Linked DNA regions of Arabidopsis thaliana. The protein of the gene in region 1 purifies or fractionates together with the protein of each later gene. This does not show direct contact. Each region holds a gene or a part of one and is shown on either strand. Other genes may lie near its edges. The genes, in order: AT1G44835, AT4G18060 and AT5G08630.

Region 1 (3,754 bases):
AAACAACAATTACAACACATAGTTTTATAAACTTAACAAACAAACAAATACTAATTTTAATAGTTTTATAAACTTAACAAGAAGCAAACAAGTACTAAATTTAAAATAAACAACATAAAAAACTAAAACAAATATTCTAATGGTGTTAACCGTGTTATTTATAATAAATATTCTAATGGTGTTAATTAAAATAAAATTTGTAATGTTTTATTATTTTTATATGATGTAATGATTTTTAATAAATAATAAGTGTTTAATTTAAATAATTTCATATTTTATACGAATTTTGCAAATCTATAATATATGGGGTCAAATTTTAAATTATATAATTAAAAAGTATTAGTATATAAAATAGAAATAGAATATTTCTAAGAATATTCTTTTTTAGAGTAGAAAATAGAGATATACATTGGAGAAAAACTCATCTCTAAAATTGAGTTACTCTATTTTAGAACAAGATATAGAGCTATACATTGGAGATGGTCTTAATACATAGTCAAAATTGATTACTTATTTGATGAAAAAATATGGATTTCTTATTTTATTTTCTCATACCAGTGATTGTTTTGTTGTATTGGGGCTGAAAAGTGTTCTTTCAGCACATCAGAGAAAAAAGTTAAGAATAGTGTGTTAAGCAGTAACCATACTCTTTAAAGCCGTAGATTAATTATTCAAGAAATTAAAACAACTAATTAAACAAAAATCCTAGCAAAATCTATTTGAATGAACCATATCCAAATCCACAAAGTCAGTCCCCCAAATGTTGAAACACGTAAATTAAACACACAACAACAAAAATATAATTAATTAAACATAACTAATGATTTTTATAATTTACACAAAAATCAATCAATATTTTTTTAACTATTTTATATTCATTTCTAACTACTTTTATATTTATATGTTATTAGAAAATATTAATATATATATATTTTTTATCAACCACACATATATTAAAATATAACTCTATGATCGGCTGCCCAATTTAGAGGAGAAGAGTTTACAAAAATAACATCAGACAACAATAAACGAGAAAAACAGGTTAAACAATATGCTTTAGAATTACATAAACGGTAAAAATAAGAAATCGAACCAAGCGTCGTTAGCTCAATTGGTAAAGACCCTAGACGAACCTTAGAGGTCGCCGATTCGAGTGACGTTTGGGACGAAACTAATATTACATGCTGTGGTTTCGGGTCTGAGAGATTACGGGATTCGGTCCAGAACCTCCTAATATTTATAAAAAAAAAAATTTTTAAAATAAGAAATTAAAGCTCGGAACATTCAAACTCGTCTAATAGGTTGGAGAAAGCTGGTCAATCATCAGGCGAATACGCCACCGAGACTAAACTCTACACAATCAGTTTCAAATATCTACAATCAATCCTTCTTGTAAAGATATTTTTCGTAGCCCAAATTTATGATGACTTTTTTTTATTTGTGGTGCACCATTTATGACAACTTAAAACAGTTTAATTTTAAATTAAAAATTTGTATTTTCTTATGACCTGTGGTTATATGTTGGGCCTTTTAGGCATTTGCAAGTTAAGTATGGTCGTGGATTGAAAAGCCCAATGTGTAATCCTCTAGTTTACTAAGAAGGTTTAATGTTTTTCAATCCAGTACTGCAAAATCTGCAAAACCTAAACTTTCGTCTTCTCAACAAAATCTGCAGTTCCTTGCTCCTTTCTCAGTCCAAATTCTCTGATTTTTGATTTTTTCGATTCAATGGGTTTCACCAAAGATCAGTTGCTTGATCGACTTCAGGTTTCCATTTTCACCTTTAAACTCAATTACATCATTTTCATTTCGCATTGCTTTTGTTGGAATTTGTCAGATAAGATTAGATAAATCATTAGCAGAGAACGGAAAATGTTACTTCGTTTTATGCTTGATTCTATTTGAAGAAGTTATGTGTATTAATGGATTTGGATGTGTATCTATGGATTCCAAGTTATGTGTATAGTCGTCTTGAACTCAGAAGTTTTTCAATGTCTACTTTTAGATTCTAACCCTTAGGTCAAGAATTTTGGTGTTACACGTTTTGTTAGTGTCAATGTTAAAAAAATGTGGCAATGTGAATTGATGATTAAGGATTTGTATCTATCTTTCAGGAACTTGAGATTGATTATTCCAAGTATGAACATCCGCCTGTACTAACCGTCGAAGAACAGGTGAATATACCTTAAAATGTTTTAGATTTTTAAAACTTAAGTGTATGATGTTTAAAGATGGATTTATAAGGCTTTGTTTTGTGTATTTAAATCTTCAGGCCAAGTATGTTAGCAGTAGTAAGGGTGCACTGAGTAAGAATCTCTTCTTGAAGGTAGTCTTTCAAAGCGGTACACCATTAAAGGCATTATCAAGTTAGAGTATTAGTTGATTGTTAATGGTGCATATGCCTCTATTTTGTTTTTGCAGGACAAGAAACATCGGTATTATATTGTTTCAGCGATGGTGGATACGAAAGTTGACATGAAAGGTAACATATGTTTTCTCCTTTTTTCGTTTGTGGATATTGGCATAGAAGAAGTCTCTGGGCTTTGTGAAGTTTGAATGTTTTTTTTTTTGGATGTTAATGTGTGTTCCCTGTGACTTCTAATTTAAACAGTTTTATCTCAGAGACTTGGTCTTGGAAAAGGAGGGATTAGAATGGCTCCAGAAGAAGCACTTGGTGAGCTTTTGCAGGTATTTTTCATAGTCTTTTCCTCTGCTACTGTGTTTTGTTATATATATCTGGAAAGAGTTTTATTAAATGATTGTGCTGTAACATGGGAACCATGGTAGCGATAGTTTTTTTGACAATTGATAAGAAAAGTTTCTCCAAACCAAATTGCTTTAAATGATCTATTTATGCATGGTGATATGTTTGTTTTGCTTATCGCAGTTTACAACAAATCCACACGAATATATTGAACTTATTGTCATTCATGTTTACAATTTTTGACACTCGTGCTACTCTCTTTTTTCGTTAAAGGTATCCCTCGGATGTGTTACCCCGTTTGCAGTTGTAAATGAATCAGCAAGGTATTGTTTGCCTTACGGTATTGGTTCATATGGTGTTTTCCCTTCCAAGTTCCTAATTATTTCCATTGACTGACATTCTTTATTAAAACTTTCCATGTTAAAGAGACGTGTCTCTCTTGTTAGACCAAAAATTCAAGAACCAAACGCGTTGCATCTTCCACCCATTGTCTAACGATGTCTCAGTCTGTAAGTTCTTTCATTACAGACTTTTCTTTTATGGTTCAAAATAGTTCATAACATCAGATTTTAGCTTATATCTAATTTGGTTGGTTCCTATCATTTCCAGCTCTGAACACATTGGGTCTGGACAAGTTTCTGAAGTCGATTGGGAGAGATCCCGTATACGTTGACCTTGAGGCAAATACTCTAAACCTTTAACTTGAGAACTCATGTTCCACAGTTCCTTTCCTCAGGGTTAACCTTTTGAACCTTTTGCTGTTTCAGGCTAACCCGGTAGTTGGTAAAGACCAGGCTCCAGATCTAGCTGTTTGTGTTCCGTCTAATTCAGTTATTGTTCCCGAGATTCCTAATCAAACATCTTCTACACAAATTCCTCTTCCAAAAAGTGTGTCAGCAGAGGTCAAGCCTGTGGCTTCAGGTATGCCTGATTTATCAGTTTCTTAACCATGCGCTCCAAGTCTTGTTAAACCGTGAAGGATTGGTTTATATAACTCGGTTTTCTTCAACGGTGCAGCCAAAACGAGCAAGCCAGCTTGTAAGGTGAAGA
Region 2 (3,754 bases), on another chromosome or scaffold:
CACAAGCCTCTGGAAAGTGAGTCTATGTTGCTGTGATTCAACAGCGGCTAATGCAGCAGTTGCTTCTTTACCAAGGACTGCCATATTTGCTTTTAGCTCTTGCATTTTTGCTTCCGCTAGTTGAAGCTTTGCTACGTTTTCTGGAATCGGAGCTTCTCTTACACGTGCTTGCCGTCTAGAGACTTCCGTTGCCTGTTTTGCTTTTAAGTTTTAACTTACATTACAAAATAAAATAGCCAACATCATCATAGAACTAAGATCTTAAGATGATTACATGTGTCTCTGCTTCTTGTCTCATGCGGCTGTAACGTTGAGCAAGATGACGAGCATCTTCAAGAGGAGAACCGGCAACCATAGCTCTTAGAGGATCCAAAACCTTAACGGCATTTAACAAAAAGGTTTTCTCTTGTTATCTACTAGATTTAATTCTACGTAAACATACTAAGATTAAACACAGATAATCCAAGCCGAACCTGAGAAGCCAAAAGCTTGTTGAAGTCTTCTTGTTCTTTGTCTACATGTTTCCGTGCATCACCGTATATAGCTGCAGCCTTGGCCAGTATATTCTCATCAATGTTCTGACTATTTTCGTTCCCATACCTACAACAGTCTTCAGACAACTTGGTTCCTGAAATTTTAAAGAATATTAAAAGAAAACTCACAAAAGTATCATAGTATAACTTAATTCAATGATAGGTAACACAAAACAGACACTCATAAGTAGTTAAGTACCTGCTTCAATGTGTCTGAGCCCGATCGTGGTAAATGCCTCAGCTGCTTTAACAATATCTCTCTGGAACTCCTGAAAGTGACAATAACATATGTTTGAGGGTATTGTGCTACGATGAATCATACTGAAACCTTCTCCCCCAACAATGAACTCATATAAAATGTGACAATGCCATTAGGTCAATATCAGTCAAACCTTTGCAGAACGAGTAGAGCGGTAAAGTTTATCGAGTTGATGATGCCTTTGCATTTCAAGCTCATCAATCACCATTACATCTGAGCTTTCATAACCAGTCCCACTGAATTGCTTTATCACAGCCTACATTCCCCATTACCACACATCAATCAACACATCATCACAACCAAGATTGTGTAACTCTATAATACTCAATAATATACAAATCAAAACCCATCAAAAAGTTTCCATTTTTTTTAATCCAAATTAGCAACAAAGAACCTAAATTGAGCTTCGTTTCGCTGAATCGGTAACAGTGAAACTAGTTGCGGCGATGAAAAGGAATTACCAGTTGCTGCTTTGCGACTTGGTCTCTAAGCTTACTCGCTTGTCTTCTAAACGCATCCATTGTCACTTCTCCTCTTGATTTCCCCAAATTGATTCAGAGATACCAAAAAGAGACAAGCTTTAAAGGATTTTGAGTGGAATTGAGAAATCTCAATTAGATCAGAACAGTTTAAAAACTGACAAAGCAGATCAGATCTGATTCAGTAGAAATGTATGTTCTTCTTCGACTCGATGTGTCACTGATTATCCCTCTGAGAAAATCAGTCAATCACAGAGCACACACATCGATCTAAGCGGGTCGGGTCGATTCGATTGATTGAACCAAACCGGTCCGGTCCGGTCTGATTAAAAGGAGCGTTCGCGATTGAATTATTTGGAAGCAGACGAGGCTTTTCTACTAAAAACCTTACGTTACGACTTACGATTATTATTGAGTAATTAATTAAAATTAGCTAAATCCGTTTGGCATAAACTGAGATTAAGTTAATTAAAACTTAAAAGTATAGGTATTAACAAAAAAACTGACATGGACAACTCATAACCACTTGTTATTTGTCCCCACTCCTCCCATATCATTTTGTCCTAACTGCCATTACATAATTATAATCTGAAAAGACAACCTATATACTTTTTCTTTTATTTTATTATTAACGTTGCCTTTCTCAGTATAGTATAGATTCCTACTCTACCGACTTAAAATTTCAGTGAGATATTTCATTAAATTCCATGTTCTTAAAACAGGGTTCTATTGTTGATGTAAACTTAAATCAAATTATAGTCAACCAAAAGACAAATGTATATTGGTATCTAAAGTACTGAATGACAACATTTTTTTGTTTTAATTTATCTATAACACAATCAAGTTGTAAAGATGATTTTGTTTGAACAAACTTTACAAAAATAATCTCTATCCATTATACTATTTCGTTAATAGCTAAATTAGTAAACCAAACGCGGAAAATAAACGAAACAAACGCGGAAACAAAATTACAAGAAGATCAATTAGTGATTTTACAGTTAAAAAAAAGCAATAAAACTCAGAAACCCTTTCACATGTATGTATAAGAAGAATCTAAAACTTTCCCACTTCCACCAATTTGAGTTTTGAAACATTTACGGCTCGACAGAAAAGAAGACGCCATTATATTTTAACAGAGAGAAATCAAAGAGACAAAAGCCACGATCCGCCATAGCTGTTTTTGAGATCGATCCCCACCAAAGGAGCCTAGCCTAAATCATGCCTTCAGGTGCTAAGAAAAGGAAAGCTGCCAAGAAAAAGCAAGAGGAAGAACAACAACAACAAGGATCTTCTACTCTAATCAACCTCAAATCCAACAACCATGGTTTTTAATTCTTTTAACACCCCATAATCTCACTACTACTTTCTTCTTTTTGCCTTTTTCTTCTTGTTGTTGTCTCTCTGTATCTCTCAATTATTCACTCACACCACACACGTTTAGGCCACCTTTCTTGTTTGTTTATATATTTGCTTCGCTTTAAATCTGAGTTTTTTTTTAACTTTGTTCTCTGTATAGTTTCTTCAAGTTTTGATTTTTATGGTTTTGTGCTCATTGATCTAAACAAATGGGTATCTTTTTTACTCTTCTTTGTGTTTTGATTGGGGTTTTAGGCTCACAATTTTGGGATCTCAAGCTGTAAAAATTTGATCTTTCGGTTAATTTTAGCATGTTCTGCTTCGTAATCCATATGGGTTGAATCTAGTTTTCTGTTTTGGACTAAAGGATAGTTTTGTTTATCAGATTCATGATTATGATTGAAGTTGTTTATCATTTGCTGAGTTTTGTTTATCTCTGATGCTTTGGTTTCATTAGTAGTAGCTGTGCCTATTTTGTTTACTAGTATATGTTTCATTCTCTGGATGGTACAATAGTTAGATTTGACTTGAATAGTCAGTGTTAAGTCACTCTGTTTGTGATATTGATTGGATTTGTAAACTGATGTGCTAGATTCGAGAAGCCAAGGTGACAAGGAGAGCGATGATGGTGTTAATGAACGCATAGAGATCACTGATTCAAGCCATGATCATGACAAGAGCTCTAGTAGCAGCAGTAGTAGTAGCAGCAGCAGCAGCAGCTCCAGCTCGGATGATGAGTCACGGGAAGTCAAGAAGATAGATGATGATAAGAAGACTGGTGATGATGTTTCTGAAGTTATTACTGTGAGTTCTGTGCCAATTCAACCTGTGCCTATTGCTGCAGATGCTCCGTTTATGGGATTTACTGCTAATGCGATTGTAGAGAATACTGGTTTGATGGATTCAGCTGTGCCGAATGATCCCGAATCTGGAGAACTGGTTGAGATCTCGCATGTTGATACAATAGTCTCAAACGAGGCTGATGATAATTCTTTGCCTAAAGCAACTGAGATTGCTGCTGAAGTTGCTCTTGCATTTGATGAGATTAGGCAGACGTCTTCAGGTGCTACTGACTCTGATGTGAAAGAAAATGAGGGAAAAACTTCGCCTCTTCCAGAATCCAACGG
Region 3 (3,754 bases), on another chromosome or scaffold:
GACTTCAGAAAATTTCTACTAAATGGAAACTTCTTCCATGACAGATCCTCCCCAAAGAGCACTGTGTTATCATCTACTTCCTTGTTTTTGTCAAGGAAGCCTACCTCATACTGAGGTTTACTATCCCCATCTGATACTATCCTCAAGATTTTGCAAGGATGCAGTTCCCCATCCCTTTCCCCATACAACTCTGCGCCAGGGAAAAAGCAATCTTGCAACTCTGTCGCTATTTTGTCAGCAAGATCTTTCAATGAAAGCGTACCTTTTCAAAATGGAGGAAAAAGAGTCAGAAATAATGCTCATAAACCAGAGATTTCAAGTATTAAGAAAATTATCTTACACAAACAAATTCAAAACGGTAAAAAGGTAGTCCTGATTTGCAAAACTTATAGAGAGAAACCGAGAAAGGTAAAATCAAGACTTGGACACTCTGCAAATCAAGACTTCGACACACTTATATCACATAAAAATAATCAATGAAGGAGTTAAAAACTTACTGAATTGGATGATGCGTAAAGCAGGTGCAACTAGCTCTCTGGGCAGAGTTTGAACCTTCTTGCCTGCCAGTTTTTCTGAATCTAAGGCCTCCTCGTAGCTCAAGCTAGTTTTACCAGTAGACTTACAAGTCCAAACTCGGTTGCGATACAGATTTAACCTCTTCAAGTACAATCTATTTTATGTTAAGCAAACAAATAGTTCTGACACGGCATGTGCACTGATAAACATGAACAACCAAGCCTTTGAAGAATAATATGAATAAAGGTTGTCCCAGAATGAAACAGGCAAACAGAATTACAAGTTTTAAGCTTATTTCTCTTTCCTCTAACTGCACACAGAAGGAGAAGGCAAATATTCAAAACATAAGTCTTAAAATTGTAACAGTTACAGAATAAGGATACTGATAATCTCGAAAGATCTCATTTGTTAGACGAACTTGATAGACAAGTTCTTGAGGCTCCAAGTTCTTTGGGGGCTCCAGTAGTTTATGTGACTTCTTTTTTAGTAGAGGCATCCTTCAAATGGCAAAACCAACCTGCAGTGTAGACAAAAATGAATGGTCTATATAAGTGATTCTCATATTCACTAATGTGAAATCCTAGTAAATGTAGAACCAGGTCATCCAAGCAAGAAGGGAATTGTATACAAAAGCAAGACGTCACAGTTGTTCCAAAGCGGAAAATGTAAACCATGGAGAACAGAAAATCAACCCATAAGGCGTTTAAGGTGACACAACGGTCAAGTAAAACTTAGCAAACGTACAAATTTGTGGCACAGAATGCAAATGATTGCATGCAAGCCTAGAGCTGATTCTAATTTCTACTGAATTCGACAGAGCCTATGGAAAAGCAAGTGGTACTTGTGAGATCATGTGCAAAAAAGAAAAGCCAATGAAAAATGTTAAGAAAAGCAATGCAGAAGAAACCGAGATAGCACTAAACCCTAGAAAAATCGCAATCCCAATCGAAATTAGAAAAGATCTGAAACCATGGGACAAAATTGACACTTGAGAGCAAAGGAACCAAAACGAAACCGAGGAATCAAAACACATACCCAAGAGAGATCGAGAAAAAGAAAGCACTATCATGCGCCACTTTCGGAGAATCCAGAAGGCGAAACGGACAAGTAAAACACACAAAAAGCAGTCAAAAAAGCATAACAACACATGTAACAAAGAAGAGACGAACACAATCATCAATAACAAACAAAACGGAACGAAAATTCGAAGCTAATGCAACGAAATCACAACGAAGAAAGCAAAATCGCAGAAGAAAAGAGGATCGATGTTCCCGCCACAACAAAGAAAACGATTGGAGAGAATTATAAACAACGAAATTAGAGAGACTCAATCAAAAATCTTACGGAGAATGTATGAAATTGGGAATGCGCGTCGTCGAGAGAGAGAGGTGGTCTCTCAAGGAAAGAATACAAGTGTTGAGATCTCACCGTCTCTCTTCGTTTTTCTCTTCGCTCTCTCTCTCTCTCTCTCGCTCTCAGCTCTTTTTGGTCGTCGTCCTTCCTTATGGGAAAGACGGGAAAAAAAACTTAATATGCGAATTAGCCTCTCACCTTTTTTTTGTTATTTTATATCTTAAGTAGCACTCGGTTTCCTTTTTTTGTTTATACAGGTGTTGCTGTTTTAGAGCCCTATACTGTAGTTTTTCCTTTTTCTATAGTAGCCCAATAACTGGGCCTTGTCTTGTTATATGGGCCTTGAATCTTTAGCTTTAAATGGGGTTGGATTTGAAACCAGTATTTTATTCATTGCTTACGATTTAAAATGGTAAAGCCTTAACTCTCCACCATTATTATTTGATTAAATTCCAAATGATGTTTGACCAAAAAAAGAAAACTTCAAATAACCCACTCTAGAAACCAAGTCATTAAATAATGTTTCCTGTGTAAAATTCATGGACCAATCGAAATGCAGAAGAAAATCTTTACAGTAATTAGAATGGCCAACCAAAGTTTGTTGTTTTTGTTTTTGTTTTTGTCAACGACTCAAGATGATATTTATTTGTGTTTACATGAACACCCGCCAAAAATATGTACTAAAATATCTATTTCAAATATGGTATTTTATGGCCTAAAATATAATAACATCACTTTTTTCCTTTTCTTAAAACTACCACCACAAAACAACAAATCAAATTAATTAAATTCTTCATCCATAAATCTATCAAAACTTGGTACCAAACTCGTGAGTGACGAAGCCTCGACGACTTACACATATCAACACGTACTTTATGTGGTAGTTGTCTCTATCCAGCGGCCAAGATTTCGCCACGTCCTCACTTCCTCCCTCCTTAAAACCACTCGTAACACCATCCCCCAAATTACATATCCGCCATTGTTTCCGGCAACGCAAACTACCAAAAAAAATAATGGAGGTCGAAAGAGTCCAAGACATTTCATCTTCTTCTCTACTAACAGAAGCAATCCCGTTGGAGTTCATCAGATCAGAGAAAGAACAACCAGCGATCACAACATTCCGAGGTCCAACGCCGGCGATTCCCGTCGTCGATCTAAGCGATCCCGACGAAGAAAGCGTGAGGCGCGCGGTGGTGAAAGCGAGTGAAGAATGGGGGCTATTCCAAGTGGTTAACCACGGGATTCCGACGGAGCTGATACGACGTTTACAAGACGTCGGAAGAAAATTCTTCGAGCTTCCTTCGTCGGAGAAAGAATCCGTCGCTAAACCGGAAGATTCGAAAGACATTGAAGGATACGGAACAAAGCTTCAGAAAGATCCAGAAGGTAAAAAAGCTTGGGTCGATCATCTCTTCCATCGAATCTGGCCACCGTCATGCGTCAATTACAGATTCTGGCCTAAGAATCCACCTGAATACAGGTAAACCAAAACAGAATCATCAAAAATTCAAATTTTGTAAACCGAAGTTAACCGTTGGTTTAATGTATTAGGGAGGTGAATGAAGAGTATGCAGTGCATGTGAAGAAGCTATCGGAGACGTTATTAGGGATTCTCTCGGATGGATTAGGGTTAAAGCGTGATGCGTTGAAAGAAGGTCTCGGCGGAGAGATGGCGGAGTATATGATGAAGATTAACTATTATCCGCCGTGTCCTCGGCCGGATTTAGCTTTAGGTGTACCGGCTCATACAGATCTCAGTGGAATCACTCTTCTTGTTCCTAACGAAGTTCCTGGACTTCAAGTTTTCAAAGATGATCACTGGTTCGATGCAGAGTATATTCCCTCCGCCGTCATTGTTCACATCGGCGATCAGATTCTGGTCTGA

Evidence for each region.
Region 2: the proteins of AT1G44835 (region 1) and AT4G18060 fractionate together in Arabidopsis thaliana (co-fractionation; one large-scale study listed by BioGRID). This does not show direct contact.
Region 3: the proteins of AT1G44835 (region 1) and AT5G08630 fractionate together in Arabidopsis thaliana (co-fractionation; one large-scale study listed by BioGRID). This does not show direct contact.

Annotation. Positions count from the first base shown.
Region 1 is NC_003070.9:16,938,181-16,941,934, forward strand, and holds the start of AT1G44835 (YbaK/aminoacyl-tRNA synthetase-associated domain-containing protein), read left to right. Parts: upstream 1-1,620; 5' UTR 1,621-1,728; coding exon 1,729-1,767; intron 1,768-2,114; coding exon 2,115-2,174; intron 2,175-2,272; coding exon 2,273-2,326; intron 2,327-2,421; coding exon 2,422-2,482; intron 2,483-2,611; coding exon 2,612-2,688; intron 2,689-2,977; coding exon 2,978-3,027; intron 3,028-3,130; coding exon 3,131-3,213; intron 3,214-3,313; coding exon 3,314-3,384; intron 3,385-3,471; coding exon 3,472-3,625; intron 3,626-3,721; coding exon 3,722-3,754.
Region 2 is NC_003075.7:10,028,350-10,032,103, forward strand, and holds the start of AT4G18060 (SH3 domain-containing protein), read right to left. Parts: upstream 1,685-3,754; 5' UTR 1,314-1,684; coding exon 1,254-1,313; intron 1,049-1,253; coding exon 926-1,048; intron 803-925; coding exon 733-802; intron 629-732; coding exon 474-628; intron 377-473; coding exon 275-376; intron 193-274; coding exon 1-192. Other genes in the region: AT4G18070 (suppressor), read left to right, coding at 2,490-2,595, 3,220-3,754. UniProt on the Arabidopsis thaliana protein: May be involved in the recruitment of DRP2A to the accessory protein complex and in the negative regulation of its GTPase activity.
Region 3 is NC_003076.8:2,801,127-2,804,880, forward strand, and holds the start of AT5G08630 (DDT domain-containing protein), read right to left. Parts: upstream 2,046-3,754; 5' UTR 1,861-2,045; exon of another isoform or gene 1,552-1,860; intron 1,034-1,551; 5' UTR 1,013-1,033; coding exon 900-1,012; intron 671-899; coding exon 498-670; intron 263-497; coding exon 1-262. Other genes in the region: FLS1 (flavonol synthase 1), read left to right, coding at 2,883-3,349, 3,421-3,748.